Regions from separate parts of the Mus musculus genome. Here regions 2, 3, 4, 5 and 6 are each reported to be linked to region 1. Evidence: microRNA targets listed by miRTarBase, many of them from high-throughput screens and not tested one by one. Region 1 holds a microRNA gene; each other region holds the end of a gene's coding sequence.
The links. The annotated mature microRNA mmu-miR-425-5p reads AAUGACACGAUCACUCCCGUUGA and lies in region 1 at 3,223-3,245, opposite strand. An mRNA with a match to its seed (bases 2 to 7 or 8) in the 3' UTR can be bound and repressed. Matches are read on the target gene's strand: a 7mer-m8 pairs with bases 2 to 8, a 7mer-A1 pairs with bases 2 to 7 and ends in A, and an 8mer does both.

Region 2: the mRNA of Ptpn3 is a reported target of mmu-miR-425-5p. The part of its 3' UTR that is shown has no 7-base or 8-base seed match.
Region 3: the mRNA of Fam184b is a reported target of mmu-miR-425-5p. Seed matches in the 3' UTR shown: 7mer-A1 at 4,420-4,426.
Region 4: miRTarBase lists Scaf8 as a target of mmu-miR-425-5p. The part of its 3' UTR that is shown has no 7-base or 8-base seed match.
Region 5: the mRNA of Sdhaf4 is a reported target of mmu-miR-425-5p. The part of its 3' UTR that is shown has no 7-base or 8-base seed match.
Region 6: miRTarBase lists Ankrd40 as a target of mmu-miR-425-5p. Seed matches in the 3' UTR shown: 7mer-m8 at 908-914.

Annotation. Positions count from the first base shown.
Region 1 is chr9:108,566,962-108,572,033 of GRCm38, reverse strand. Mir425 (microRNA 425) reads right to left here and starts at 3,257; the gene lies at 3,173-3,257. It overlaps Ndufaf3 (NADH:ubiquinone oxidoreductase complex assembly factor 3), which reads left to right and starts at 4,598. Exons shown (of 5, transcript NM_023247.2): 1 at 4,598-5,072. It overlaps Dalrd3 (DALR anticodon binding domain containing 3), which reads right to left and starts at 2,142. Exons shown (of 12, transcript NM_026378.3): 1 at 1,959-2,142; 2 at 1,589-1,884; 3 at 1,220-1,470; 4 at 1,063-1,142; 5 at 861-989; 6 at 515-588; 7 at 360-421; 8 at 170-252; 9 at 1-93. The coding sequence starts at 2,123. It overlaps Mir191 (microRNA 191), which reads right to left and starts at 3,715; the gene lies at 3,642-3,715.
Region 2 is chr4:57,189,804-57,194,875 of GRCm38, forward strand. It overlaps Ptpn3 (protein tyrosine phosphatase, non-receptor type 3), which reads right to left. Exons shown (of 26, transcript NM_001384115.1): 26 at 1,043-4,559. The coding sequence ends at 4,482. Among named protein-coding and RNA genes, the nearest start is that of Gm12530, 20 kb to the left of the region's middle.
Region 3 is chr5:45,526,030-45,531,101 of GRCm38, forward strand. It overlaps Fam184b (family with sequence similarity 184, member B), which reads right to left. Exons shown (of 16, transcript NM_021416.3): 16 at 3,676-4,801. The coding sequence ends at 4,708. It overlaps Med28 (mediator complex subunit 28), which reads left to right. Exons shown (of 4, transcript NM_025895.4): 4 at 1-3,255. Among named protein-coding and RNA genes, the nearest start is that of Med28, 8.3 kb to the left of the region's middle.
Region 4 is chr17:3,197,414-3,202,485 of GRCm38, forward strand. It overlaps Scaf8 (SR-related CTD-associated factor 8), which reads left to right. Exons shown (of 20, transcript NM_134123.3): 20 at 1-1,446. The coding sequence ends at 797. Among named protein-coding and RNA genes, the nearest start is that of Gm34035, 83 kb to the right of the region's middle.
Region 5 is chr1:23,991,763-23,996,834 of GRCm38, reverse strand. It overlaps Sdhaf4 (succinate dehydrogenase complex assembly factor 4), which reads left to right. Exons shown (of 3, transcript NM_026503.3): 3 at 475-896. The coding sequence ends at 584. It overlaps Gm53062 (a long non-coding RNA gene), which reads right to left. Exons shown (of 5, transcript XR_865295.2): 4 at 3,762-3,893. Among named protein-coding and RNA genes, the nearest start is that of Sdhaf4, 11 kb to the left of the region's middle.
Region 6 is chr11:94,338,831-94,343,902 of GRCm38, forward strand. It overlaps Ankrd40 (ankyrin repeat domain 40), which reads left to right. Exons shown (of 5, transcript NM_027799.2): 5 at 723-3,017. The coding sequence ends at 869. It overlaps Abcc3 (ATP-binding cassette, sub-family C (CFTR/MRP), member 3), which reads right to left. Exons shown (of 31, transcript NM_001363187.1): 31 at 4,465-4,945. The coding sequence ends at 4,837. Among named protein-coding and RNA genes, the nearest start is that of Gm51871, 11 kb to the right of the region's middle.

The DNA.
Region 1 (5,072 bases):
CTCGAAGAGTGTGGCAAGGCGGGCACAGTTATACATGACAAAAGTCCCGCTCTTTGTGCCCTTTGTTGAGATGGTGCTGTGGGCCAGGAGGAGCTGGGGAATGGTAACATAGCTGCAGAGGGCCTTGGCTCTGTACCTGCATCCTCCGTCCTGGTGTCGGGAGGCTTACCTGGCTCTGTGGGGCTGTGCTTAGCATCTCAAATTTGATGGTAGCCACGGAGAGGATGTCGAAGGTCTCAGTCCAGGCGGGGTCTGGGGTGCGAGAGAGGCTGGTCAGTGTCTGAAGACGAAGCACACAGGCCAGAGGTGTGCGTGACCTGCTTCCACCTCAGCGCACACGCAGGATCTCCCAGGTGTACCTTGTGCCAGGTCTCCTCCGTGCTTCAGAGCTGAGGCCTCGCACACCTGAGCATGTCTGAGCCTAGAAAAGCGAGCCAGTAAGCAAGGTCTCAGTGAAAGCTGTCCCTACCTTTACGCTGTTGGTGGCTGTGGATGGCATCCCTTTCATACTCACCTGTAGTACTGAGGGGCAGTCAGCTGGGTGCCGGGTACACCAGCCATTTTCACGGGACCACACACCAGGTGTTTCTGTGAAAGACTGGAAGGGCTCAGCCCAGTTGGCACTACCCTCCCCGCTTCAGGGAACTATATCAGTTGCTTTTCTACCTTGGTTTTCCCAATCTGTAACCACCAGCCTTCCTTCGTACCTCCTCAAGACACCATCATCCTTTTTCTTAAGACTACATAGTCACAGGACATTTGCACTTGTAGCACGGGTGCCTATGGTCACATCAGTCTCTAAACCCCATGGTATTCCAGGCCTGAGGTCGGAGGTGGTTTGGTTAACTTTGGTAACCAACCTGCTTGTGAGGAGCCCGGTCATCCAATTTCTGCCAGAGCAAATCCAGCTTTTGTTGCTGGAATGCCTCTTCACAGCTAACCACGTGTATAACCACGCAGTCATCTACACCAGCATCTGGACGCCCAGCCTGAGGAGAGATGGGGCAGTTACTACAAAGATACAAAAATCCAGTTTGGGCAGAGGTCAAGGCAGCCACTCACCGGGCCTGGGTGGCCGCCCTCTGGCCAGTGGCGCACAGCCTCCTGCAGCTCCGAGAGCACAGAGAGCACATCTTCAGTCACTACAGAAAACAAGAGGTGTTGAAGTGCCTGGCAGTGCAGAGACACAACCCCACCCATGTTCTGCCGTTTGTCCTACCCAAACAGTGGTCTATGCTGGGGTCATAGCCAGCAGTGCCTCTCTGTTCTACCAGTTCCTTCAGACACAGTCGGCCTAGGACGCCAGGGGGCAGCGTCGCTTCCTTAGAACCATTAAGGTTTGCAAGAACACAGGTTCTCAGTGTTTCGGTCGAGGTGCTCTTCGAGGCAGTGGGCCATTCCACCCGAAGTTTCTGGAGGAAAGTTGACATGTGAGGGTCCCGCACCGGGGGCACTGAGCACACACGTACCCTGCAAAGCAAGGGAGGCTGTCTCAGCCTGCGGACCAGGCTTAGATTATCATGACTCCCACCTTTTCTATCCCCAAATGTTCGGTCTTTTGCCATTATAGCTTCGAACACGCACTTACCCATGAGCACGCAGTACCCGTACTAGATGATCGGCTACGAGCACGGCACGCAGCTGGCTCAATCGGAGCGTCCCCGAATTACAGCGCAGTGCTGGGCAGTGTAGGACAACTCGCGGGCCTGGTGAGGCAGGTTTGGCGGGAGTAGCATAGGAGGCCAGGGCACCGAGTACATGTTCGAAGACAGCGGGCCGCTGTAGTTGGAGCGATAAACCCGCGGGTGTCGGCGCGCAGCGCAGTACAGGGGCCACTCCGGGACCCTGCAGGCAGGAGACCGCACGGAACACGCACTCTGGCACCTGCAGGCAGATGTGTGTAAGTGGGCCGTAGTTCCGTGGATCCCGCTAGGCATGCCCCACAGGAGCGCACCCACCTGGCCGTCCCTGAAGCGCGCCTGTAGCGCGCTTCGCGGTGCCAAGAAGTCTCGAACACGAAGGTGCCGGGCATGGGTTTCCTTAAACCACACTGGGCTACCAGGCCCTACAGCTGCATTAAGGGCCTCCAGCGTCTCGCCAACCCCAAGGCGCCCGGTCGCCATGGCGACCGGAAGACTAAATGGAACAGGAAGTAAGTTATCCGTAGAGCTTCCGGGAGGTCCGCCTGGCGGGGGCGGGGATCCGGCCGTGGACTCTCCTGAATGGACCAGAGCGATCGAGCATGCCAAGTGAGCTTACATTCTACCCACGCCTCCAGCTCTCCCTCCCGATGGCCTTTCCTGTATTCATGAGCCCTAACCTCCAAATTTGAGGGTCCATTTTTCCTCCTTTTTAAAAAAATCGTCACCCCGAATTATTACTTTGATAACGGATCTTTGTTACCAGGCAAGACACTTTGCCACCAAAGTTTCACATCTTTGTGTTTATGTCTCTTTTTTCTTTTTCTGCCCCATTTAAACAAATTAAAGGCCAGACGCACGAGACGAAATGTCAAAGGAATAAGGCTGTACCATTAATGACACTTTGTTTTTCAAGACAGGGTTTCACTGTGTAGCCATGGCTGTCCTGGAACTCTTTGTAGACCAGAAAGTCCTTGAACTCAGAAATCCACCTGCCTCTGCCTCCTGAGTACTGGGATTAAAGGTGTGTGCCACCACTCGTGTCTTCCATTAAAGACTCTTTACCGCCTACTTGGAAAAGTAACGAAACAAAGCAAAATTTGAGTTCTGATTATTGGTACGCCTTTCCTCGGCTGCGGTATGGAATGTCTTTATTCCCAGTAAAAGCCCAATCGGATAGAATTGCCCATCTTGATACCCGAGGAATTAGTCATCATGATTCCAGGATTACCAGCCTTTAATGTTTTTCCTTTAAACTGGTGTTACCGGCACCTTTGGTTCTTTAGGCAACTGGTCAGTTTAAGACAAATGTGATGATGAGAAGACCCAAATAAGCAGAGCTCTCAGGTAGAGCAAGCTGCAGGTGAGCTTTTCTATGTCCAAACTCTTTCGTTTCCAAGTAACGTGAAACTCCACTTCCCCCAGTAATGAATGAATCCAACCGGTGAACTTTGCTCCGGAGAGGAGTGACATCTAGAGATAGGAAAAGTTCGGGAAGGCCGGGGCTATGAGGCCCTGTTTGGGAGGTGCCGAAAGAGCACTGGGCGGACACGACATTCCCGATGGCTTCTTGGGTGCCCACTCAACGGGAGTGATCGTGTCATTCCAAAGCACTTTCCATGCTGTGGTGTGGGTTCAGCTGCTAGCAGGGCTGGGACCCACCAGCAAGTTGGTGATTTTAGCTACTCTCCCTCCATGAAGACGGTTGGGGTGGGTTTTCCCCAGGAAGTGAAGATCTATCTTTAGCGAGCTGCGGGCTGGGCGGCCTTGTGGGACTCACCGCCATTGCGGCCCTTCAGAGAGAGGACCCAGGACCTCCCTGGTCAGAGTTCTCCAGGGATTCCAGACAGGGCCATCAGCCCGAGCTTTTTTCGTCGCCTCTGACTGCCACCATCAGTCTGGGGGTGCACCTGAGAGATGGAGATCAGAATGGCCCAGTAGTGTAGTGTTTCTGAGAATAGAGACCACATTATCTGGGCCAGGGCGCTGCTCAGGCAGGAGAGCAGGGAACGAAATCCAAGTGCAGCTGGAATGCTCTGGAGACAACAGCTGCTTTTGGGATTCCGTTGCCCGCTGTCCAGCCATTGGAGGAGGGCTCTTGCTCCCAGGTCACTCGCCCTGAGGCCAAACCGGAACCCGCCCATCCCTTCCCAGTGGGCTGAGTAGGAAGGAGTAGGTGTTTTAAACCAGTCTAGTGAGAATGAGACGCTCACCTGGGCCCCAGAACAATAGAAGGTGGGGGCATCCCCCGGGACGAGGTCCTGATCCGGATTAGATCAGAAGGGCTGGATTAGCCCTGTGAGTCCCAAGCAGGAGCCACTTGTACCGGGCAGGCTTCGGAATCCGTCAAGAGGGAAGCGATTCCGTGAGACCCGAGAGGAAGTAAACCCATGTGTCCACTTCTGGGACTCCCCAAAGCTTAGGACCTTTTGTCTGGTGACGGTGCCAGCTCATGAAGTGCCAGGGGCCAAACTGGCCCACATAGCAGCGGCAGGACAGCCTCCCCCCAAGCCCATTGCAACCGGCCCTGCAAAGAACCCCACAGCCAAGCCCCATTTGTGTCAAGCATCCCACCCGTCTAGTCCAGCGGATAGAGAACGCGACAAAGTTCCTCTGAGGCCAGGACAGAACCGGTGCGCAGAGATGCCCATGCCGCGGGACGCCAAGGACTCATGCGCCAGTAGGCCCTAGACTCAGCTCAAGACAGGGGGAGGGAGACTCTCGGTACGCGCGCGCAGAGCGCGCAAGGGCGGGGTGGTGCTCCAGGCGCGGTCTACTTCACGTCTGGTCCGGTTTGGCCCAGTCAGTCCCACTCGAACAGCTACTCCAGCACTGCCACGGCGTGCCCTTCCGCTGGCTCTAGCTGTCCCCAGACTTGGAGCCATTTTAAGGAGAAACCATCTGGCCACACCCCCTCGCGCTGCCGGGAAGCCAATCCATGCTCGGCCACGCCTCTCATGGAGCGCTGCGCCGTCGCCAACGGTCGCGCTGGTGACGGTTGGGGAAAGCAGCGATTTCGAGACTAGCTAGGGAAATTTTAGCCATCTGCCCCGCCCCCGGAGCCCGATTCTCCAAAGCCTGGGATTAAGGGCCTGGAGGCTGGCACCACACCCTGGCCAGGTGTTCATAACAGGACCAGGTGCGCAGCTGCCCCGCCCTGGTCCCTGGGAGCCCGAATAATGGCTGAGAATCCCAGGAACAGGCCGCGGCAGTGGCCTAAACAATACCCTTAGGGCGCCCGTACTAGCAGGTGTTTTTCCCCCTCCTCCTTAGGGACTGTCGCTGGAGGCATGGGGCGGGGTGGGCGACAGGTGCTGACACACCCGCATGGGGAGACAGAGGCTCTGCATTGGCCTACTGCGCCGTTCAAGGTGCGCGGTGCCCTCCGGGACGCAAGGGGCGCTGTGGCTACTTTGAGACAGACAACTCTGT
Region 2 (5,072 bases), not on the chromosome of region 1:
CTCGAGAAGCAGAGGTACATGGATCTCTGTGAATCTGAGGCCAACCTAGTCTATTAAGCAAGTCCCAAGACAGCCAGGACTGGTACACAGAGAAACCGTGTCTTGGAAAAAGAAATCCACACACATCAAAAGAAGCCTGAAAAAAAAATCACTAAGTAATTTTCTTTTAGCAATATGGCATGATGACATTTAGTTTATGTTGTTCTCATGAGAAGAAGAGACTACATGGGGCCAAAGGGCTCATTGTTCCTCAAATTCTTTCTCAGAATGAGATCATGTGAAATTTAGTTATGCATACTGTCCTCCCCCACCCCCCACCTTCTTCTTCTTTTTTTTGAATTTACCATGTAGACCAGGTTGGCGTTGAATTCATAGATTTGTTTACCCCTGCCTCCTGAGCATTGAGATTCTAACATTTGGTCTGGGCTTGAGGCCTCAGGCTCAACAGCAAGTGCCAGTACAGTACTCACTGAGCCATCTCACCAGGGCCTCCTGGCAGGTAGTCTCAGCTGCCCTTGAACTTGTAATGTAGAGACACTGACCTCCGGATCCTTCTGTTTTGACTTCCTGGTCTGACCCAGGGCTTCGCGCATGCTCTGCAAGCACCCTAGCAACGGAGCTTACATTCCCTAGCCCCAGCATATGGTTTCTTGGCATAAAAACTACCCCCTTGAATAAGATATGGCCCTGGGACTAAGGACACAGGTCTTGCTTTTCTCTTCCCCTTCCTGCTATGCTATCAAGCACCTGAATGTGTCTGGAAGTCAAGGTAGGAGCTGCATTCTGAGGACCTGGAACCCTGTTGATCACTGAGTCACTCAGCAACCGCGTAGGATGAAGGATAGGGCTTTGTGCAAACTACTGCCTTCACAGTAGAATCCAATTCTGATCTAAAACTGGTCCCCCAAAGTGAGTGCTAAGGCCAAACACTGCACGAGAAATCAACCAGAGGGAGGGTGAGGTGGGCGGACAGCATCGAGTTGATAGGAGGCGGGGTACAAACCAGACACACAAATAAAAATGTTGACAGACAAGAACAGTGTTGCATAGCTTGAACGCTTTTATATTGATCAGGTTGTTTTTCAGTAGAGTTCCGACAACAAGTCAGGATGAGAAAACATTCCAAATTTACAGGAAAACATATTGCTGATCGACTAAAGATAACTTTACAAAATATGGCTTAGCACACAATCCTGTGGTTGCTCCGGTGGTACGAGAGCTATCAAGAAATCGACGTTAGCTATCATCAGTCTTCGAGGTTTGATTGCTCAGGCTGAGGTCACAAGGAACTTGGCTGTCTTTTCTAGGTCTACTCTAGGATGACAGGTAAGAACCAGGAGGGTGGTAATATTTATCTTTGTAATTCCACAGTGATAAGGACTGAGACAACCAACCCCTTGGGGACAAGTCACAGACCGGGTGTTTCTCTGTGTCAGCCCTTCAGACTTGGTTAAGGTTAAATTTTGTTTCCCTGAAATCTAACTGTGAGTTCATCTAGTCCCACCAGTCACCAGTGCTTTCCAACATAAACAAACTGGCTGAGGGCAAAGCCGGGGTCTGGACTAAGTCTCACCCATTTTTCCCTGATGCCTCCTCTTTGTTGCCTTGGGAGGATGAAGAGGCAATTTACTGCACCCCCCCCAAATGGTAATTTTTAAGGATAAAGGCGTGCAGAGGGGAGGGGGAGAGGGCCAACCATGAACACAGCAATAAGAGAATCTACACAAGCATCAGAACATATTTAAGTCCCATGGGACCCCGGGAGGAAACTAAAAGTACCGCTACACGTTTGAGAGCCATCCATCCTGCCCCCTACCCCTCAACAAACTTCACTTAATTGTTCTCTCTGGAAAATCAACACACCATGTATGGATTCTGGAGAGTGGTACCAGCAGGGAACCCACCGGATGAAGGAAGTACACTGGGGTGTCTAATCTGTTCTTTGGGAAGGTGCTGGAATGTAGGATATAAATATCTTCCCCATTCACAACCAGCCAAATTTCCCAGGCAAAATATTTACCCTGAGTCTGATGCAATTCTTAGGATGAAACATAGCTTCTCAAAAGCAACTGTGGATATGGGAGATGCAGGAAAACAAGAGCTCAGAACTTTGGTTTTTTAAATTGGTAATATTGACCCAGTTCACTTGGGCACTCTACTCTTTGGGGTCATTTTCATGTCCTTCTCAAGATCCCACGGACTCTGTTTCTGGCAACTACCACTGTGTCTGAAGTGCTGGCCCCATACAATGGCAGAGAGAGGCCAGCTGCAGCTTTTTCAAGCTTCACAGAATATTACATAAGTGTAACAGCAGCATTTTCGTGACCACACTCAACGTGTTTTCAGAAAAATAATAAAACAGTCTCCAAGGACATTTAGATTCTGCAAGTGCTTTGCACACAGGGCAGTGATAAACATTGCTATCAAACAACGGTCGTCTGTTAAACAGCCTAGTGCCACTGAAATGCACCCAGTACTCTCTCCTCCTCCTCTTCTTGGGGCTTTACTGAGAGCGTTCTCAGAACCCAGCTTGAATAAAGGTATCGGTGCTCTGTGCTTTTCCCTCTACAACACTGCTCTATGAAAACCTGGTGGGTTCCACTTGTCTGATATGCTTGGGGCCAACAAAAGAAGCCAGCCTTCCTAGTTCTTCAGTGGCATTGGTTTATGTATTCCAGAAGCTGGAAATTAGTTTCCATAGTGTGATCTAATTCTGTCCTCAAATTCCAAGTGTTGTTTTTCATTATTTCACACAGACGGAAAGAGAGGCACAGATCGATCCCAGGTTCCTATGAGGGCTACCTGGTGTTGAGCAGTACAGAACCAAATTCCACTTTCTCAGTATACAGGGCACTGAGCAGTGCCTTTCTCACTCACATCATTGAGCACTACTAAGATGTTTGTGGGTAAAAGACAGGGGGGAGGGAAGTAGACAGATAAACTGAGCCTGCAGATAAAGAACCTTCAAAAACCTGAGGTCCTTTGTACAGGTCCTTACCCATCTTGCAACTAGGAAATGCTTTAATTGGTCCAGTATCTGCTAAGTATCTATGTAGCTTCATCTACATACATTATAACATCAAAGTATCCTTTTCCTATAATACCATTAAGAAACTTGCTGACTTTCTTTTCGATACATAAAAACAGCTATTTAAAAATACCACCTTAGAGCATTCATGTAATTTATTTTCCTTAAATAGTAATTCGCTACAATCCTGCCACAAATTAAAAAAAAAAAATAACATGGTATTCACAGAGCAGAATTCTTTAGGACAATCAAAATCCCAGAGTACTTAGAATAAATTAACATCAAATTGTGTTTATATTCAGTTAGTCTGATTCTCTCCTCTGAAATGAAATGGAGACCATTGTAACCTAGGGTGAATGAACAACACACTTGTTCTTCTGTACAGAGATGAATTCTTTACATAAACTCAACAGTAATTTGAATCAAGTTAGGAATCCTGAGAAAGTCAGCCACCCACAGACACACACATACACACAGAGACACAATGACAGACGGACACACACACACACACCACCCTTGATTGAGAAGCAGTGTTTCTCATGGTCACTTACTAGAAGGTCATTTCTAAGAAGGGTCCAAAATTCTGAATATTTGGATGCTATCATCCCCCACCCCCCAAGAAAATTGTCTTGTTTCAAGTGTGAGAGCTTGAAGTAGCAGCAATCCAGAGATTCAGTAGTCGGCGAATCCAGTCATGGCGTCCGAGTATACAAGGAGTGAGCAGAGGCTCGCCTGCTTCCGAAGCTGAGACTCAGCCTTATGCAGAGCCTAGTTCCCAGTCTCGGCAGAGAATTCACCTGAACATACATCATGAAGCTGGTTCAGGCACTGGGCGTGATCCTGAAGAAAAGGAATTTGGGGTGGGGGAAATGGGGTGCTTTGGATTGCAGAAGGGGTAGAGATGAGGCGGAGGGAGGGAGGGAGGGAGGGAGGGCGGGCAGAATAGATCCTGTTCATCCTCCAGCCTGAAGTCCCTTGTGCCCTGCCTGTGGTACATTCATCCGAGTTTCCCTTGGTGTCAGGGGTAATGGACAGGAATTGCCAAGGAAGTTCAGCCCTTGGAATCCCACACAGAACAACACACAAAACACCTGAGCAACCACAAGTAGCCACATTGTCTGGCTTCTGGCGGGAGGACACTGCTGGTGTCCCCTCTCATTGCTCAAGGATGGATGACAGGGGACGGTGATATGTAGGGAGAAACACAGTTCCCAACTGGAGATCCCCTGTTGCTTCTCTCTGGGCCAAAGGAGTCATAGCTGCATGCATATCTACACCATCAGTCCTTATGTACAGGGTATCTTTTCCACAGAAATTTAAAGTGCCTGGGTTCAGATAAGCTCATCCCTTTCCCACAGTGACCAGCATCTCTGGGGGGGCCTCCAGGGGAATGTGTGCCCCCTTCTTCAGGAAGTCGCCCTAGGGAAGGAGGAACGACCACTTCACAGTTGTCCTAACTGGGATCCAGCCTCTGGACTAAGCCTTCTTCGTACACTCGAAGGATCGCTTCACACACAAACTTGTATTGGCTCTGGAAGAGAAGAGAAAGCTGTCAAGGCCAGGGCTCTGGGAGTGCTGCCTCTTGCACGCCATGCTTGAGAGGGTCTATGAAGCACTTCTATTCTATTCACTCCCTGTGAGCCAATGCTGGGCCTCGGTGCTGGGAAAGACAGAGGCGAACTCAAGCCTTCACAGACTGGGTGAGTGAGCGGGGTACCCTCAGAGAAGTGTGGGCCGAGGGGAAGCTAGCTGGCTGCTGAGCCAAGTGGGGAGCTGTGTGAGCTAAGGACCGGCGTTCCTCTTTCTCTGCTCTATCGCTGAAAGCACAGCTGCCATGCTGCCCTTACCAAAACCTCAAACGATGAGCTCAAATAAACCCTGCCCCTCTCTCTGTTAGGTTCCTGGCCACAATAATGAGAAAAGTAACTAATGAAGGCACTGACGTGGAAACTGTGGCGACAGGGGACATCTGTTCTGAGGCGTGTTTGTAAGGATTCCACCGTCCTGACCTAGAACAACTGGACAAGTGTAGGGGCTGTGAGTT
Region 3 (5,072 bases), not on the chromosome of region 1:
ACGTTCCATTCTCTGAGTCCTTATTCACTCTGCCTTGAGGGCACACACATGAGGACTATGGCATGCTGAGTGCTCTTGGGCTGTGCTGTGCTGGTCAGGGTAAGGAATGGAGTCCCAGGGAAGGCTCGGGTGAGGTATGAGGTCACAAGCCTGCTTGGATTGTCTATTTGTCTCTGAGTTTTATTTGCTTGTTTTTTGTTTGTTTGTCGTCCCCCCCCCCCCCCCTTCAAGGCCAAGCACCTCTCTTTACCCAAAACAAATACTCCATACCTCTTGAATAGTCAGTGCATCTCCAGCTTGGCTTTGTCCATTTTGGTTTCTGGAGCCTTAGCCCAGGTCATAAGCATCACCATCCACTCACTGCCGGCCTAGTCTGAGCACTGCCATCTGGTCTGTGGAGCTTCAGCATGCCCCGTTGCTGCGCCTCATCTCAGGGCACAGGGTTTTGTTTGTAATTTTGTCAACTTCCTTAAATTCTACATATGCTTTATGAGTAGCGACTATGTTAGTTGCTCTATTGTATGCCTGTTAGAGTTAGGGACTTCCTTGATTATGCAAGGTCTTACTAGTTTCATGTGTATGCTTGACTGTATGATATCTAGTTCCTGGAACAATTTAAGCCAGTCTAAGGCCATCAGGTTCCCTTAATTAGAATATATAAATGAAACAGAGTGTTGAAAAATTTAGGCTGGCATGGTAGCATTTGGGAGGTAGAGGAAGGAAGCTCAAAGTGTAATCTCGTCTTCAGCTACATAGCAAGTTTGAAGCTGTTGTAGATTACATGAGAGAGATCTGCCCCCGTCCCCTCTACTTCTGTCAAAAAAAACCCCAAAACAAAACAACCAACCAAACAAAACACTTAATTAAAACCCATGCATTTTCTGAAGTACTGATTGACAGCTTGGCTGTTTCTGGATTTCTTGGCTAAAAACTAAATAAACTGGTTACATTTTGGCTGGTTTGTCAATAATGAGGAGGATGGTGGAAATACTGAAATCATTCTTGGTGCTTAGTGAAAATATTTTTAAGTTGGTCTACATACAAGTTACTGTTTATTTTAAATTGAATTCAACGGTTAGGTTAAAATAATTTTCCCATTTTGTCAGTTTGTGTGTGTATAGTATTATCTGTGAACATGTTTGGGGAGGGGTATGTGTGTGTTTTTGTGAAGGTCAAAGATCCATGTGTGTTAGACATTAGAGATCCAGGTGGTAGCTATTTCCAGATTACCTTTCGAGACTCAGTTTCTCACTGAGTTTGGCCTTGTTTACTGGACAAGACTAGCTGGCAAACCACAGTGATCTTCCTGCCTCTCTCCTCCTTCCAAGCTCTAGGATTAAGCTACTCTGCTCGGCTTTTTATCCTGGTACAACCACATGAACTCAGGGCTTCAGTTACACACACGAGCTTTACTTACAGAACCATCCCCCAGCTCCATCTCTCTCCTCCTAAGTGGCACTTTGCTGGCTGTTGAACACAGACATTCCAAGCTGCATGTCTTTCAGGGGTTTCCGTTGGTTTGCTGCTCCTATGTGTAACCTAATGGATTCAAGGAAGTTTCCTGCTTGTTTCAGTTGCCTACCTGAGTAAGACCAGCCTTTCCATATGCATGGATCCCAGACCGGTCGCCTTCTCTAGGATGAAGCACTGTGGTGATTTCTGCCACTTGCAACTGTCTGTCCTTGGCTCCTTCCCTGTACCTCACCCAAATTCTGTCTTAAACATTTCCCTTGATCTTTTCCAGCTCCTTATTCCGTCTCCACTCTGCTCCTTCCTCCACAGCTGTATTTGTCTGTCCTGCAATTGTGCTTGTGATCATCTTTGGCAACAGACCAGATGGTACGTTCACTTCCTTAGTTTCTATACATGAACTTAGCTTCTTGACTATCCAGTTCCAGTACCATTGGTTGTGCCAGTCCTGGGTATTAGTTTGCGTAGCATGGGTGCTACAGTCAGGTCTGTTTCTGGAATCCTCTAGTGGACAGTGGTCAGGAGCAGTCAGTCACCCTAGTCTACACTGCAGAACTATCCTTGCACAGAGAGCACACACCTGCCAGTGTCCAGAAGCTGACCCAGCAGTGCTCCAGTTACTCTGCTGAGGTAAACAGGCTCAGAACACCAAACCTCATCGTCACCTGAAACGATGATCAGGTGAGACAAATCACTTATAATTCTCATTGGGGCACATATACGCCCAAAACCAAGTCACCAGGTCATTCAACCACCAGACATCCTGCTGGATGAAATGAGTGACTGTGACCTTGGCCCCCTTTGGTTAATATCAACTTGACAGGATCTAGTCCCACCTAGGAGACAGACCTCTTAGCATGTCTTCGAAGAAGTTTATGTTGGTTGAGGTATGTGGGCAGCAGCATCCCAAGGGCTGGGGTCCAATACTGAATAAAACATGAGCTAGGCGTCATTATTCTTTGCTCTCTGCCTCCCATCTGGACACTGTGACCAACTACTTCAGCTCTGTCCTTCCCAGCCATGGTGGACTGAACCACCAAAATCTTGAACCATAGTAAACTTCTCTGAGTTCTTTTTTGTCAGCAGCAAGGAAATGCAGAAGGCTGCAGAAAAGCAGTCTTGTGCCTTACCAAGAATTACAATGCTGAGAAATGCCCAGATCAGAAAAGGCACAACCACCTGTATCGCCCAGTGCTCACTGCTTATTGACAAACATTGGAACTTATGGCAAACGAGAGTGGGCATTTCCTATCCAAAACTCCAAATGCTCCCAGATCTAAACTTTTCCAACAATGACCTGACACTGAAAGGGGAAACTTGCATACTTGATGCATTGAGTAAAAATGGAGGTGTACCAAGAAAAGAATAAGGTGGATATAGAAATGTCAGGGAATATGTTTAGTTTTTGGTCCCATGTTTAAGATAACTTGTGTAGATTCATGAATCTGAAAATATGCAAACATTTATTTTAAGTCTTACTGGTGATTGAATTCAGGACCTTGCACATGCTAACCATGTGCTATATACCACTGCTATGCACTTTTAAGCACTTGTGGACCCAATTGTTAGGTAGGAGGTGATAAAGCAATAAAGGCTGCTTGCTCATGAGTGGCATTAGTACCCTTGTAAAGAGGCAGCTCTGTTGCACACGAGGCCCCATAGTGGAGACTTACGAAGAATGCTTCCCCACTTTCATCTTGGTCTCTTACCTGCAGTAATGCATTTCTTTTGTCTGTATACTCTCTCCATCATTAAAGTTTTAGTGTAACAGCCTCAACACTCCAGTGTCTTCAGCTTATGCAGGAAGGACAAAAAGTTGGCACTGAAAAGTCATGTGCCATTCATTCCAAATACGGTGACAAATGGTTGCATTCAAAATGGAGAAAGACCCATGAGCTCCAATCTTTTAGGACACATGGCTAGCATGTGGGTTCTAGCTGGGTATGGTCGTGCACTCGGGTCAGTGGGAAAATCTTTGAGTTTGAGGCCGTCATGGTCTTATTATATAGTGAGTTCTAGACATAGTGAGATTCTGTTTCCAAACAAACACCAACAAAAAAGTGTATTCTTATGAGCAAGGTAGTTCAGTAGTAGAGCACTGGCCTAGCATGCTCCAGGTCCTGGGTTCTATATGTAGAACTACCAACAACAACAACAAAAAAAGAGACTTTAAAATTTGAAAATGATTAATAAGACAGGTGGTGGTAGTGTGGAGGCAAAGACATTTTTATTGTCCAGTTCAGAGTTTTATTATTCAAAGAGCAAAAATTTGACAATGCATAGAATTGACATCTGTTGATAGGCCACTTGCTGGGCCAGCACCAGAGAGAAGAAAAGTCTACCCACTAAAAGTTGTGTCAAAGGGTAAGACAGAGTGCAGCTTCAGCACCATGGGCAGTTCCCTGCTCTCCTGGGAGTCCATGCAGTAAGAAAGCCTTACTTACATCTGAGGCTGATAACACAGATGCAAAGAACAGGTCCAACAACGGTTGGCATCAGAGAACAGACAGTCTAGAAACCTTTGCAAAGACTTAGCATAATGCATCGAAGCTGAGATGTGTAACAGGAGGCACAGTTGTTCACCGAGCATTCCAAGTCAGACTTGATAGTATGCTGCTTAATCTTGTGAAGTGCTGTTTGAGGTAGGTGGTGTCCCTCTGCAGTCTGTGGCCTGTGCCAGACCTTGGAAGTCAAAACATGCAATCCAAGCGTGCTGCAGTCCATTCCTGGTAGGTTTGGTGTTTTGTTCTCATTGGCTTTCCTTTTATATTGAACTTTTATTTTATTCCTCTTCATTTTGAGGTTAGATGTGCATTTGGAATTATATATACATATGCATATGTACATATGCATATATATATAATCATAGCTTTGAGTGGAGATGACCAAGGAAAAAATATTTTTAAAGCAGACCATGGCAGTCACAAGTCTGATATCTCACAAGTGAAGTATGACATTACAGGCACTAGGAATACAATGGGTAATTTGGTCATCAGAGGTTAATATTTTCCTATGGGTGCTTCCTAATAACTGGCTTGTTTCATCTTTAACTATAGGCATTCTTACATAAGCAGGTGTCACAATGAAGCTGAAATGTTCGTGCCACACTTCATTTTAGCTATCCATCGCATGTAAGTCACTCCCAGCTAGTTACCTGGTTGGGTGGTTTTAATTTATTCCTTCAGATGGTTGAAATGATTTTCTAATGTCCTCCTTCAAACAGACCCCCAGGTCAGTTTAGAATGAAAAGTACTTGGTAAACCATTCCTGATGCGGGGAGCCTTGCTTCTGTGGGGCTTCTTTGGGTTGGGCTGGTTCGCCATCTTGGGTCCTTTGAAAAAAAGACAATTTTTACATGAAACTATGAAACTTATTCAGTAAAAACCAATACTGTACCATCTTTCCCGGGGAAGCTCTTAACTGCTTCAATAATGCCAAGTCACACTGACAAGTAGCCCTAGCTATGACACACACTTCTGTGTCAGGTCTGAAGGTAGGGATATCTTAAAGGTTAGTTCCTTTAGTCACACCATTCTGATCAGGTAGCTACTGTATGCATTTTTAAGATAGTAATTGTACTGGCGAGTTTTGTGTCAACTTGA
Region 4 (5,072 bases), not on the chromosome of region 1:
ACAATATTCAGCAGGAAGGGGATAGAGATTACCGCTTTCCTCCTATAGAAACCAGGGAGGGCATTACCAGACCTCCTCAGGTGGATGTTAGGGATGTGGTTGGGCGACGTCTAGATCCCAGAGAAGGCCCTGGAAGGCCTCCATTAGATGCTAGGGATCATTTTGGAAGACCTCCTGTGGACATGAGGGAGAATCTTGTGAGGCCAAGTCTAGACCACCTTGGTCGAAGAGACCACTTTGGCTTTCCCCCAGAGAAGCCTTGGGGGCCTAGAGATTTTGATGAGAGAGAGCATCGAGTTCTGCCTGTCTTTGGTGGTCCAAAAGGCTTACATGAAGAAAGAGGTAGATTTCGGGCTGGAAATTACCGATTTGATCCTAGAAGTGGTCCTTGGAACAGAGGATTTGGTCAAGAAGTTCACAGAGATTTTGATGACCGCAGAAGACCCTGGGAGAGGCAGAGGGATAGGGATGACAGAGATTTTGATTTCTGCAGAGAAATTAATGGAAATCGTCTTGGACGAGATAGAATTCAAAACACTTGGGTTCCCCCTCCTCATGCTCGGGTTTTTGATTATTTCGAAGGGGCCACTTCTCAACGGAAAGGTGATAATGTGCCTCAAGTTAATGGTGAAAATACAGAGAGACATGCTCAGCCACCGCCTTTACCAGTACAGAAGGACCCTGAACTCTATGAGAAACTGGCGTCTTCAGGTGACGTAGACAAGGAGGAGAGCGGCACAGTTGCTGGTGTAGAGAGTGAAGCGGTGGTAGAAAGCACAGAGACTGAGGGGACATAACATCACTCAGTAGGTAAAAGAAACCTTTTGTACAGTTGTCATCTCTGTAAGAGGTTAATGGCTGACTGCACCACACTTGTTCATGTTTATCTACCAGAACTAAGTTAATCTGATGTTCATGTTCACCTTTCTCTTAAAATAATTGTACAACTGACTTGTATAGACATTGTTCTTAATATGAACATGGTAGGTAAACACTTTTTTTTTCTGATAACGTATAAATGTTGCCCCAGATTCTTTTAACGTCAAGGAGATGCTAACGGCTTGTCGGAGACTTCCTATGGAAGAGAAGGTTTTAGACGCTGTCATTGGGTTGGGTATGGCAATGACATATTTCAGAACAGCAAGGTGTGGCCCATTTCCTCCATAACTCTAGGCTGCTGCAGGATTTTAAGGAGACAGACAAAGCTATGACATTTTATGCAAGGACTGGCTCTAGATTCTTGAGGAGCATAATACAGAGATTTTAAAAAGTGATTTTGTAAAAATCTCCACGATGGTCTCTGTTACTCCAAAGTAAGTGTGTGTGATTTGTTCCTCATACTGCAATAAGTAAAAAGAAAAAAGCAAACAACATAAACATTCAAAGACGTTTCAATGTTGGGTGAATTTTGTTTTTAGATGCCAATAAAACTTACTTGTTTGATAACAGTGTTCTAGGAATTGTATTTTTTTAACCTACAAATTCTTAAAACTGAACTGTTAGTAGTATGTACTTAGCTGTTGAAGTTTCTCATTACCCTTTAACAACAATGAATAGTTGTGTGCTGAGAAAAGCCTGTATTTGATATAAAAACCATGCAGTCTGAACAATATGTATGTAGTATCTATGTATACTTATTGTATAAGCCATGTAGTTTTTCCTTCTCTGCATGTCTGTCTCTGCTCATACAGAGAAAAAGAATGTCTTTAAAAGTTTAATATTCTTTAAAGCTTGATAGAAAATTGGGAACACTGGGTAAATTAACATTCCTCATGTTTATAGCATTTTTTTAATCTTGATAAGTGTGAAGTAAGAAATTAGAAGTATATTGCCTGAGAGACAGTTTTTTGGTGCTTTAATATGGCTAAACACAGAGCCAGATGTGGCACCTAGTCAGATTTCACATTAAGTGATGACAATTTCTCACACTATCTGCTGTTCTTGTAGATGAGACTGTCATTAAGGAGCTTAGTTCACGTGCATGCCATCAGTTTCTTAATTGCATAGAATGTATATTGGCATTGATGGCATAAGTCAGGAATAAAGCTTCCATCATGTGTTTTGTAGTCTCTGAGTAACACTGTTTAGACAAGGCTCTAAGGTAAAGGAGGAGAAATGTTTGGGGTTGGCTTCCTATTTGCTTTTGCTCTTAAGTTTCATTTCTTTGCTGGTTTTGTTTTTTTTTTTTTGCATTTTCCACATTCTGCATATACATGATAAAAGGCCATCAGTAGTTTCTAGTTTCCAGTGGAGGTTTCCCATGATTCTGTGAGCACTCAGTTCCTTTCTTTTGCGTTTTCAGCCGTGCATCCTTTGCTCTGTCTAGAATCTCTAAGCTGTGACAGAGTACACGAGGCATTTAAAGTAAGACTTGTTTGTGTGCTCCTCTGGTGATGCTCTAGACAGCTATGAGATTTGTAGCCAAAAGAAAGAGTCTTTTCTCACACAGCCTGAACCTGTGAATTCAGACAGTAGGGCATAATCTATTTGGTTGATTGGGTAAGGCAGGTAAGAGAAGAAGTGCTTGAATATTTACTTCCAAAGCAACTCAGTTAATAGTTTGATTTGATGCTAGGTCTTTCCCTTAGGATAAAAAGTCAAAATTGCAACCTTGGGGCAGAGTAAATATTCAGGGAAGACTGGCTTTGGCCTTTAGGAAATGGTAGTGAATACAGTTCCTCACAAGTACTTTAGTTCCATTTTTCTCTGATCAGAATTTATGGACATTTAGTCAAGTTAAGTAGCAATATAAACAAGCTTACTTGTTAGTGGTCTGTTTTTAATTCTAAGCTTTTGGCCTTCCGTGGGTACTTGAGAAGGGTTGCACTTGCACTAGTTTGAAGGTTCTAGAAAGTGCAAGTTAGCCCAGCATTGGCAGAACCGTGTCACCTTGTGCATGTTTGGGGACACTTTTCCTTTCAGACAAAAGCGATTACTCTTTGCTTGCCCCCCTTGTCCTTGTTTGTCATTATAACAGTAAGGAAGGACTTGCTCACCCTCAGTCATAACCATTCCAGATGAGTCTGGCTTAGGATCTGCCGCAGTCCGTAGGCCTGCTGCCAATTGGAAACACATGTGAGGAGCGGCCCAGCCACTGAGTGCACTGCTTTGTGGTTTTTTGGGCAGTACTGTATGGTACACTGAATCACACCGTGGGGATCATCAAGCCCTGGGCCAGTTTTATGCTGGGCGTTCTCCCACTGAGCTACACCCAACAGCCCTACGTGGTTTCAGTGTGTGCCACGGCAGAGTGATGCCACACTCTGCAGTGTAGCAGACTGAACTGCTTAACTGTACAAATTTCATGAAGCATGGTCTCTGTTCTTAGCATTAGTGTATGTACTGCAGTTGGTAATTTCTCCCATGTCTGGAAACATGCAACAAAGCCATATTGATAAGCAGCGCTCATTTAATGTTGCTGTATAGGAGGAGGTACTAATCAGAAGTGAATGGAAGGTCCAAGTAGTGTAAGTGGCCCATTCAGAGCACAAGGTAATTTCACTAACACTTTATTCTTATCAGAGTACTTCCTCTCATCTGGGAATTTTGCTGCTTTATTAAATTTATCTTCACTCCTATGAAAAATTATACTTTGATAGAGACTGGGAGCATTATTGTTAAAGTTACTTTAAAAAATACTTTTTAATTAATTTTTCAATATATTGCTCACTGCCCCCCTCTCGGTCATTCCCTCCCATAATCCTTACCCCTTCCCTACTCCCCTTCTCCTCTGAATTGGTGGAACACTACCCCACCCCACCCCAGCCTCCCCCACCCTGGCACTTCAAGTTGCTGCAAGACTAAGCGCTTTCTCTTCCCACTGAGCCAGACAAGGCAGCCCAGCTAGAAGAACATATCCCAGGAACAGACACCAGCTTTTGGGATAGCCCCTGATCCAGTGGTTCAAGGGCCCACATGACGATCACCTAGTACATATGCACAGAGAGGCCTAGGTCCAGTCTGTTTAGGTTCTTTGACTGGTGGTTTATTCTCTGATAACCCCCAAGGGTTCAGGTTAGTTGACTCGGTTGGTCTTCCTGTGGAGTTCTATCTCCTTAGGGGCCTGCAATCCTTCCTCCTCTTCTTCCATGAGTCCCCAAGCTCCATCCACTCTTTGGCTGTGGGTGTCTGCATCTGTCTAGGTAGAGCCTCTCAGAGAATTACGTGCCCTGTCTACAATCATAACAGAGTATCATTAATAGTGCCAGGGATTGGTGCTTGTCCATGGGATGGGTCTCTAGTTGAGTTCGTTATTGGTTGGCTATTCCCTCAGTCTCTGCTTCATCCCTTGTGCCTGCATTTGTTGTAGACAGGATATATTTGGGGTTGAAAGTTTTGTGGGTGGGTTGGTGTTTCTATCACTCCCCTGGGGTTCTTGCCTGGCCACAGGAGGCAGCCTCTTCAGGCTTCATGTCCCCAGTGCTGTGAGTCACTGCCAAGGACACCCCATTGATTCTTGGGCACCTCCTCTATCCCAGGTCTCTGTGTCCTCCTGGAACAACCCCCCCCCCCCATCAGTTGCAGATTTCCATTAATTCTCATGGCCATTCAGCAATCCCCCTACCTCTCCCCACACCTGATTCTGAACCCCACCAACACTCCCCTCCCAATCTCCTCTTCCACCCAGTTCCCTCCCTCCATCTTCCTCTTAAGACTATTTTATTCCCCCTTCCAAGTGAGACTTGAGCATCCTTGCTTGTGCCCTCCTTTCTCTCCAGCCTCCTTGGATCTGTGGAGCGTAGCATGGGTATCCTGTATTTTATGGCTAATATCCACTTATAAGTGGAATACATATATATGGTGCATGCCCTTTTGTGACTGGATTACCCCACACAGGATGATATTCTCAAGATCCATCTATCTCATCGAGTCTTTGTTTTTCATAAATAGTATTCCATTGTATATATGTACTAAAAAAAACTTAAAAATAGTGAATCTCATTGGATAAAATGCTGTTAATTGCAAGCAATACTACTCAGAAATGGGAAATGTTTCCAGTAAAATATACAATGACTGTAAAATAATTCCTAACTCAGAACAGAATCAAAGAAAAAGGGAACATACAAAGTAGA
Region 5 (5,072 bases), not on the chromosome of region 1:
GCTGACACCAAAATCCTTTTACGCAGCAGGGATGCTCATAAATAGAACCTGTCAGCACCTGTATATACCTGTTACTGAGACAGACCTTGTTCAGTTCAACACTAAGGCAAAATTGGGAAGAAAATGGCGACATTGATCTTGTTTCTAAACCTTCCAAGTTCAGTGAAGCTGCTGTCCGTTCTCTCTCCTTCCCTCCTGTCGGGTCCAGCACCACTTAGGAAACTACTGTCTAGTGGTTTTTAGACTTGAAAGCATGCCTAGAGTCGGGGGTCACTAGTGTCGGGGGTAAAGGTGATTGAAAATGCATTGCTTGAGCTCTGGGGGCAGGAGAGGAGGAGCCCCATTACAGCTCCTTGAAAGAGTGGGATGACCCAGGCACTCACACCTAGATCATGCAGTCCTGTCCTCAACATTGACCACTTCATTTCTCGCCGTCTCTGCTGACTGCCTTCTCCATATTTCTGTCTTCCTCAGAGTTTCCGGATGATGTAAATCCAGTTACCAAAGAAAAAGGTGGACCCAAGGGCCCGGAGCCTACACGATATGGAGACTGGGAACGGAAGGGACGCTGCATTGACTTTTAAGTCACGCACTCTCACAACTGCAGAATCATTACCTGAACTGTTTACTTCAAGTTGTTTTCTTTTTCTGTGTCCTTTAAGTGTGTAATTTCCATCGTATGTCCTAAAATGCATGTGACAGCTTTGAATAGCAAATGCTGCTATAGATGAGGAATGTGGAAACGCTTCCATTAGCATCTTAACCTCACCTTAAGTGTGTCAGGGCAGAGTCTGGGATGAGAGCATCAAGTCTTTGCCACGATCTTTTTGTCATTTATTTAATCAGTTGCTTATAAAATACATGTGTAAATAAAGACCTCTTGAAATTTTTCTTTAGATTTATTATTTTATTTTTATAAGTATGAGTGAGTTTTTTTCTGTATGTAAGTATGTGCTTGGAGCCCATGAAGGCCAGAAGAAAGCATTATACCCCCCTGGAACTGGAGTTGTGGGTGGTTGTGAGCCACCCTGGTTGCTGGGAACTGAACCCAGGACCTCTGCAAGAGCAATAGATGTCAAGACCTCTGTGCCATCTCTTCCCCTCCTCCCCACCCCCAAGAGCTGGTACTGTTATTTTAGACTATGTTTACATAGGTATGTCTGTGTGTACATACACGTGAGTGCAGTTGCCCTCACAGGCCAGAAGAGGGTGGCAGATTTTTCTGGGGCTGGGGTTCTGGGCTGGTGTGAGCCTCCTGTCCTGGGTTGCCACGAACCAAGCTCAGGTCTTCCGTAAAGCTGTTCTCTCTCTTAACCACAGAGCTGTCTCCCCAGCCCCAGTAAAGTGGCTTTTACACAATCATTTCTAAGACTAGGTGTGCTGGTTAGTTTGAGTCACGTTTCTGTAGGCTAGAGTCATCTTGGAAGAGGGAACCTCAGTTAATATAATGCTTCTATCAGACTGGCCTGTAGGCAAGTCTGTAGAGCGGTTTCCTGACTAATGACCGATGTGGGAGGCCTAGCCTGCTGTGGGCAGTGCCACCATTGGTTAGCTGGTCCTGGATTGTATACAAACGCACGTTGAATTAGCCACAGGGAGCAAGCCACTAAACGGCTTTCCTCTGTTTCAGGTCCTGCCTCGAGGAACTGCCCTTACTGCCTCGATTTCCCTTTGTGATGGACTTTTACATCTGTGTAATCTGTGAGATGGAATAAACCCTTCCCTCCTGCCAAGTGGCTTCTAGTACATGTTTTATTAAAGCAACAGGAACCAAATTGGGACACTCAAAGAATTGTGTATACATGTGCTGTGTGTACGTGTGTACATGCATGTGTGCATGTATGTGGGCCTAAGCACAGAGGTCAGAGGAGAGCTGTGGAGGTTAGTTCTCTCCTTCAGCATAGGTTCCAAGGATGGAGCACTAAGGACCTCAAGCTCATGCAGTCAGCTTTTCCCCAGTAAGTCACCTCCCAGGCCTCATAGTGACTTTAAGTGTAGGTTAAACAATACAGTAGAGTTCATGAAGGCCACAGTAATGAGACAGACTACTTCATTTGAAGCCAAATGAGCTAAATCCAGTCCTGCCCCCACTCCTTGCTGTCTATGTAATCCTGAACATGTTACTCAATGTCTTTGTACATCTGTATCCTTTTGTGTAAATGGGAGATGATAGTAGTTGGCAGGACACTTGAGTAGATTAAATAAATGAATCTGTCTTAGTTAGGGTTTTACTGCTGTGAACAGACACCATGACCAAGGCAAGTCTTATAAAAACAACATTTAATTGAGCTTACAGGCTCAGAGGTTCAGTCCATTATCATCAAGGTGGGAGCATGGCAGCATCCAGGCAGGCATGGCACAGGCAGAGCTGAGAGTTCTATGTCTTCATCCAAAGGCAGCTAGTGGAAGACTGACTTCCAGGCAACTAGGGTGAGGATCTTAAGCCCACACCCACAGTGACACACCTACTCCAACCAGGTCACACCTATTCCAACAAGGCCACACCTCCAAATGGTGCCACTCCCTGGTCCAAGAATATCCAAACCATCACAGAATCCATTCATATTACAGTTCCTGAGAGAAAACCACGGGGGAGAGGGGTGTGTTTGTGTGCGTGCACAAAGACAGAGAAGTTATGAAGAACTACAGGAGCAGGTTCATTCTCCACTGTGTAGATTCCTGGGATGGAACTCAGGTCGTCAGACTTTTAGCAGCAAGCACCTTTAGCCACTGAGCCACCTCACCCTGAGGCAGAGTTTGGGGAAAGCCTGGACAGTATAGTAAGAACCTATCCCCTTCCAAGCAAACAAGAATCCCTTTCTGAGGCACCCTTGTAGATGTCCACAGACAGTTTCAGCGTGCACGCCATTCACAGCAGAGCAAAAGGCATGGCTTTCCTTGCGTTCACTATTCTGAACCCTGAATGGATTTTTCCAGATCACTAGGCCTTCCTGTGGGAATGATCAAGAAAAGCGAAATTCGAAATATATGAACTAAATTACTTTGATATATTCACATGAAAGAATCATTAGTTTAAAACAGTGATAATTTGGGTGGGCAGAATGAAATGTGTATTGGTAAGACAGCAAGTTAGAAAAGCAGGGGGAGAAGTTTCTGTTGAGTTCATCTTGATAACTCGACAGCTCCTATCCCATCGATACCTGGGCCAGACCCACTACACACCTCAGGCATCTTTTCTGTGGCGCTGAGGCTAGGCCTGCAGCCCCCTGGCTATGCTTAGAAAGAAAGGGTGTGCAGAGCTGATAAACACTGCGGACAGACAGACAGACAGACAGACAGACTGACAGTGCAGTGGGCTGATCATTAAATGATGTCAACTGTAAGTGCGGTTTGATAGAGGCGTTGCTGAAATCATTGAAGACGATAAACTTTTTAAAGTTTTAAATGTATTTTATTGTATGTGTATGAGTATTTTGCTTGCATGTATGTATGCACACCATATGCATGCCCGGTGCCTGAGGAGGTCAGAAAGGGGCACTTCATTCCCTGGAACTGGAATTATAGATGGCTGTGAGCTGCCAGGTGGGTGCTGAGAATCAAACCCAGGTCCCCTGCAAGACCAACAGGTGCTGTGAACGTCTGAGCCAACTCTCTGGCCAATGGAAGATCATTATTAAACTAACTGTGACCAGAGGCTAATTTTTGTGTTAATTAAACTCGATTTGCTTTTGTCACCTATGAGCCAACGTTAGTTCCTTTCTTTAAAAAAGGTATTTCTATTTCATGTGTGTTGCTGTTACCTGCATGTGTCTGGGAGCCCCGTGTGCATGCAGTGGCCTTGGAGACCAGAAGAGGTGGCAGAGGTCCAGATACCGGAGGTCCAAATGCTTGTGAGCCACGGGCAACATTTGTTCTCTTTCTTGTTGTTTCTGCTAAGTAAAAATATTTTGAAAATATCCTGTAATTTAGTCAACCAAATTAGTGAACATTTATTAAATTAACATTTTGAAAAATACTATGTTAAATTAGTTTTGAATTATTAGTTGAATTGACCATAAGAAATCAAAACTGTGCTGGTCTAGACTACTTAGCACAACATGTGAGAAAAGAGTTTATATACTTCAATAACGTGTATAATATACAGTAAATGAGAGTCATTCCATTTATCCCAGGAGGCATTTTCTCAGTTGAGGCTCCCTCCTCTCAGACAGCTCTAGCTTATGTGAGGTTTACATAAAACTAGTCAGTACAGTGGGCATTCATCCTTTTTTCTCTCCTGGCTCCTAACTGGATCCAGTGTGACCAGCTGCGCTGTGCTTCTGTGGCTGTGGTTTCCACCATGATGAACTGTGAAACCATACGTCTAAATAAACCCATCCTCCCTTACATTGCTTTTATCGATATCTTACCACCTTAGTAGGAAGAGTGACAAATACACAGGGCTATTCATGTAGCCCCTCCCACTTCTACCCTCATTAGGCTATGTCACTGACTGCCCAGAATTTTATTTGAACTGTGCTCCTGTCCAAGGCTCTGTGTATCCAGTCTTCCGTGCCTTCACTCTCATTCATTGATATCAGACCAACCTGCTATAGGAGGTATGAAGGTCCTCATGTTCAAAGATAAGCACAAGGGGACCTGAAGTGTTTCCCAAAAGGCTGTCCCTTCAAGGGAAGGAATTCTTTTTTTTTTTTTTTTTTTTTTTGCTTTTCTTGTTTGTTTATTTCCTAATTAGTTTTCAAAGTTAGGATATAGGTTTAATAAATATACTTAAAATTTATTAGCATGCGGTAATTATACACTGTGACCTTCATCCTGACATCTTCATTCATGGATACAATGTAGCTTGATCTTTATCCTCTCTGCCATCTATTGTCCTACCAAGCTCACAGGTGCCTTCCATCATCTCTATTCCTACTTTCTCTGCTTTCCTTTTATTTTTTTAATATATTTTTTATTACATATTTTCCTCAATTACATTTCCAATGCTATCCCAAAAGTCCCCCATACCTTCTCCCCCACTCCCCTACCCACCCATTCCCACTTTTTGGCCCTGGCATTACCCTGTACTGAGGCATATAAAGTTTGCGTGTCCAATGGGCCTCTCTTTC
Region 6 (5,072 bases), not on the chromosome of region 1:
GTGTGTCTCAGGCCAGCCTTGGATTTATGGCAGTCCTCCTGCCTCTGCTTCTTGCCTGCTAGGATTAAATGTGTGAACGATCATACTCTAATACACTGGCACTTTTGAAGGTTGGAAGATAGCAGGATGTTACATGGGCCTGTTTCAGTTGTTCCCATAGTAACCTGTAGCCTTATGCCATATGATATGCGGCCCACCTGGCATCTTTGTGATGCTCCAGCCAGCTATGGGCTCTCCAGCATCAAGCTTCTGGCTTCTCTAAGTTCCTGAGGAAACCTGACACTCACCTGCCTGTCCCTTTAGGGCATTCTCATCCTGCAACAGAGACAGAACTTTCTCCTTCTTGTTCAGATTAAATGTGGGGGCTGATCACTGCTTAGCTGTCTCAGGGATTTAATTTTCCTTTTAGATTAAAGATGAACCAAGACCCTGGAATTAATACAACCAACCAAGCATAGACACAGACTGCTGCTATTGCTCTGTTGCCTTGGGCTGGCAAGTTGGCTCAGTGGGTAGAGGCACCTACTGCAAAGCCTGAAGACCTGAGTTCTGTCTGTCCCAGGGCCCCACATGGTGGAAGGAGAGAACCAGTTCCCACAGGTTGCCCTCTGATCTCCACATGTGCATTATAACACAAATGTGTGCACACAAAACGAACAAATGTAATAAAGAGCTAACTAAATGAAAAGAAAATTTTAATCCATTACCCGGTTTTGTTTCAGGACAAAGATGTTGCCCGACTCCAGGACTTCCAGGAGCTGGAACTGGTTCTGATGATAAGTGACAATAATTTTCTGTTTAGAAACGCTGCATCCACACTGACTGAGAGGCCTTGCTATAACCGGAGAGCTTCAAAACTGACGTACTGATGCAGCAGGGACTTCATCACTGAGTACTGTGACAGTATGTGTCATCTCTGGGCCAAAGGACAAGCCATTGATCCCAAAGCCTCGTATGCCCACCAGGGCCCCTGGTGCCACTGCGTAGTGTTCACTAACACCCCGCCTCACCAGGCAGGAGCCCCGACCCCCCAGCAGCGGTGCCACTCTTCCAAGCCTCTTGGTGCACAATAAACTATTGCTGAATCTTTGAACAGCTGGAAAGTAGTCTTGAGAGGCAGAAGCCGAAGGTTCGAGAGCCAGTGTTTAATGTGCAGGATCTAGAGAGTTGTCAAAGCAGAAGCTGAGAGCGCAGACCTATTTCTAGCCACTCCTGTTGACAGTGCGCCTGAAGGGCCGGGCGTGCCTCTCTTGGTGTTGCATGCTCGTGACACTCAAGAAATTTTGAACTGATGAGGGAGGAAGACTGGGGAAAGAAAGAAAGCACACACAGGTACTGGACAGAGGGATTCTGGTATGACCTGTGGCTGTGAGGTCTCATATAGCATATTTATAAATGTTACTCAGGTTTAAAGTATTTAAAATATAGTTACCTAATTGTAAATAGGCTGTTAACCAAAAGAGCTTCCCCTCCCCCAGTTTTCTTTTATGACCACTGATGACTGCGGCTGTCTCGACAGTCATCTTCACATCTGCTCCCCTCCACAGTCACTAGAGGGCTCTCTAATGCTTTCTAAAGGAGCCACCACCTGCTCCGTGGCCACTCCTGTCACCCTGTCTAATTGCACCATTCAAGAAGAGCACAGGCGCTGTTGGACAAGGCGCCCACCACTCTCACTCCCTCCAGGAACAAAGAGCAGCTTTTGAGCCCGGACTTGTTGCTGGTTTAAAGGTTATTGTGGGAAACTGAACTAAAGGAGTTAGCATCTTTATTTTTGTATCAAAGATAAAGGTTATTTTGAAAATTATTAGGGTTTTTACATAACTCTGGAATCTGTTGCTTTTATAAACAAATTGTTCAATTTTAGGAATTCCCCGTTACCTCCACAGTCAGTTGTGAGGGCCTGATTAGACTCTGGAGCATGGTGTACGACTCTTCTCCAAGAGCGCATGCAAGAGTCTCCCCCCCTCAGCCTCATTAAAGACGAAAAGCCACCTCGGTTTGCTTAACTTTAGATAGATAGGACCTGGCGCACACAAGAGCAGGAGAACAGGGCTGGAGCAGCTGTTGACGGGACCCCTGCTGTCTTAAGCTTTTCCCCATAGTGCCTATAGTTTCCAAAGAAACTTAACTTCCTGGGTATTAACTTAATTTTATTAGAACACTGCAGTTGACTGAAAACATGCAGATGCACTGGAAGAGAACCTTGTGCTGAGGTAATGGCCTCCCACTGCCGCCTGAGTGCTGAAATGAGCTTGAGGTGTTCTTCAAAGCCAGTGTCACTGTGTGGGTCACTGTGAGGTGACTGCATGGTGCCTGGCCCTGGCACAGCTGGTGACTTCCCTTGTAGAGTGTTTGCGTAGTGGAGTGGCTGTGGCTCACCACCCCCTTTCCCAAGTGCTTTAATGAAGACACCTCCCTTGTGTTTCAACCAATCAGAAACTACTTTAACTAAATGTACTAACCTTTTTCCCTCCTAATTTGCTTTGAAAAAGTTTAGTAATTCAATTAAGCGTGATTCTATCTTAGAAGAAATAAACTCAGTATTAATTCATGTCTAAATCACTGGGGTTGAGACTCCTTCAGCCTCCCTGGTTGATTAGAGATTCTGAGAAGCAGTAGAGCTGGCTGGGAGGTGGGCTACAGAGGAGCAAGCAAGCACTTCAGACTGACCAAAGGTTGTGGTGGCCCACATGGCTCTGCCCAGTGTCCTGTGCTTTGCCACAGTCCTCTGGGGTCAGTGTCTCGGGCAGTGGGATGGAACTGTGTGATTGCTCTTAGGTGAGTTCCGAGTCTTAATCTATGCATTCAGAGAAATATTTTTATATGCGTTGTGTAATTTATAACAAGGGGTTTTCTTTTAGGCTTTGTTAACTGAATGCTCCTCTCCTCCTCCACTGCATAGTTAAAGCATGTGTTCACACTGTGTAAACATTCACAGAAGACTTTTCCTCGTGTGTTGTTGACTCTTTAAACATAACAGGTATTATTAAAATTAACTGTTAACTGACCCAGCCCATTCTCTCTCGTTTTGCCCTCGTTTTGCCACTGTATTCTAATCATAGAGGGTTCAAATTGCTGTGAAGTCCCATGGGGCTGGCGCTGTGGAGGAAAAAGAGGACCAGATCCCCAGCCGAGTGTCTGCCACCCCACTGTTGCCTGCCTCTGCCCTGTCACGAGTGTCACTGTCTCACCCCGTGGGTCGTGTCTGGAGATGGATTCTGTGTGATGTCTTCCCTCCCAGTCACTTGGTTTCCCTGGAGTCGCTGAGCAGCTAGATAGAGGTCATCCCCTATTAACCACAGTTTTTGATTATCCTATTTACTTGACACAACCGAGCCTCCCCTTTGGGCTGTCGGCACCTGTCATGGCCTCAGTGAGTTCAGAAGCGAACTCCCAAGACAGGAGAGGAGGCACAGCCCGCCACCTTCAGATCTCTAGCAGGGAAGGACGCTGAATGAATCTCCTGTTTGGTTTAGGCCTCCCAGCACCTCACAAAGCAGACGTCATGCCAAATTGGCCTAATAAATCAGCACAGCAGAGACCTTTTCTTAGCACCAGGGAGAGGCAGAATAATTTGGGCATTTGTGCTCTCATACTTGCTCTATCAGAAGGATGGAAGTCGCCTTCCATACACTCATAAACATCCTGGGCAGAAATAGCCTGCCCAAAAAAAAAAAAAAAAAAAAAAAAAAAAAGTGATTAACCTTTAACAAATGGTCCTGCAGCATAGGCCAACCCGGGGCATATAGAAAAAGCAGATCAAAGGCGCCATCTCCTTGGTGACTGCCAAGCACTTAGGGTGGGGAAAGAAAACCAGCCACCACCCGCACGCTGTCAGTCACTTCTCACCGACAGTAAGGGTACAATTGAGGGTGAGCTCGAAGGCTGAGGAGGTGACAGGGAGGTTCCTTTCAAGTGCAGTCCTGGGACCAGATGGACTGTGCAGAAAAGTCTTTTGTTGGCTTGTTCAAAATGGCTCCAGGGCCTGGGGAGGCAGGGACCTAGGACACTTTTAGCCTTCCTGTTCACCCAGCTTGACCAGAGGAGAAGGAAAGACCAGTGGCCTCCCTGGTGAACAGGCATCTTAGGGAGCCAGGAAGGGAGAGTCACATCCACTTATTCCCCTGGTGAGCAGGGCTTGGAAGACTGAGGAATGACAATGGGCTCAAAAGTGTGCTCCGCAGCTCTTCCAAGAACCCCGGCCTCACTCAGGTCAAGTCCCAGGGCCTTTATTTCTTACCTTTCCTCAGCCTCTGCTCAGCAGAGTGGGAGGTACTGTCATTTTGCTGTGAGTTTTCGCTATGAAGATGGTATTTATAGCCACAGGTTTTGGGTCTGAAGCTTTCAGATAACAGCAGCCACACAGAAGTGTAGGATGGCCTTGGCCTGCCCTGGTTCTTCGTGAAGGTTCTAACCCCCGGACTTTGCAAACAGGCAGAAGAAGGTAACATGTGACCCACATGCTGTTGACTACAGCTTTATTTCATCAGTGGACTCAGACAGCACCAGTACAGGGTCTCTGTTCCCGGGACAGACTGACCTAGCAGTCCCTGGTCCAGGAGGAGAAAGGCTCATTTAAAAAAAAAAAATTGGAAAATATGCATATGTAGAGGCAGGAGCAAGGTCTCTTAAAAACTGCAGTACAGGAATCATGGTGGACTAGACCAGGAGACCCAGGCACTGGTCAGAGCGTGGCTTTGAACTGGCTGTGATCTCTAACTCATTTCCTCATTCCACTGTGAGACAATTTGCAGAATTAAAAAAAACTCTAAATGTCCCCACTCATGGCCATCGAGTCCATCTGACAAGGAAGAAACCCTTGGAATGCATCATCTAGGCAAGTCCCGCATCCTTGGCCATCCCATAGAAGATGCCTCCGGCCGCAATGAGGTTGACTGGAGAATCAAATTCAGCTACTACTCCTTTGTCCAAGACCAGGACCCTAGCCAGAAAAAGAAAAAGTAGTTAAGCCTCCCAGTCCTGGAGGCCTGCCCTGCCCTTTGAGTGCTGCCTCAGACTCTGCAGTGACATGGCAGCCCACCTATTTCAGTCAACCTCCTCAGCCCAAC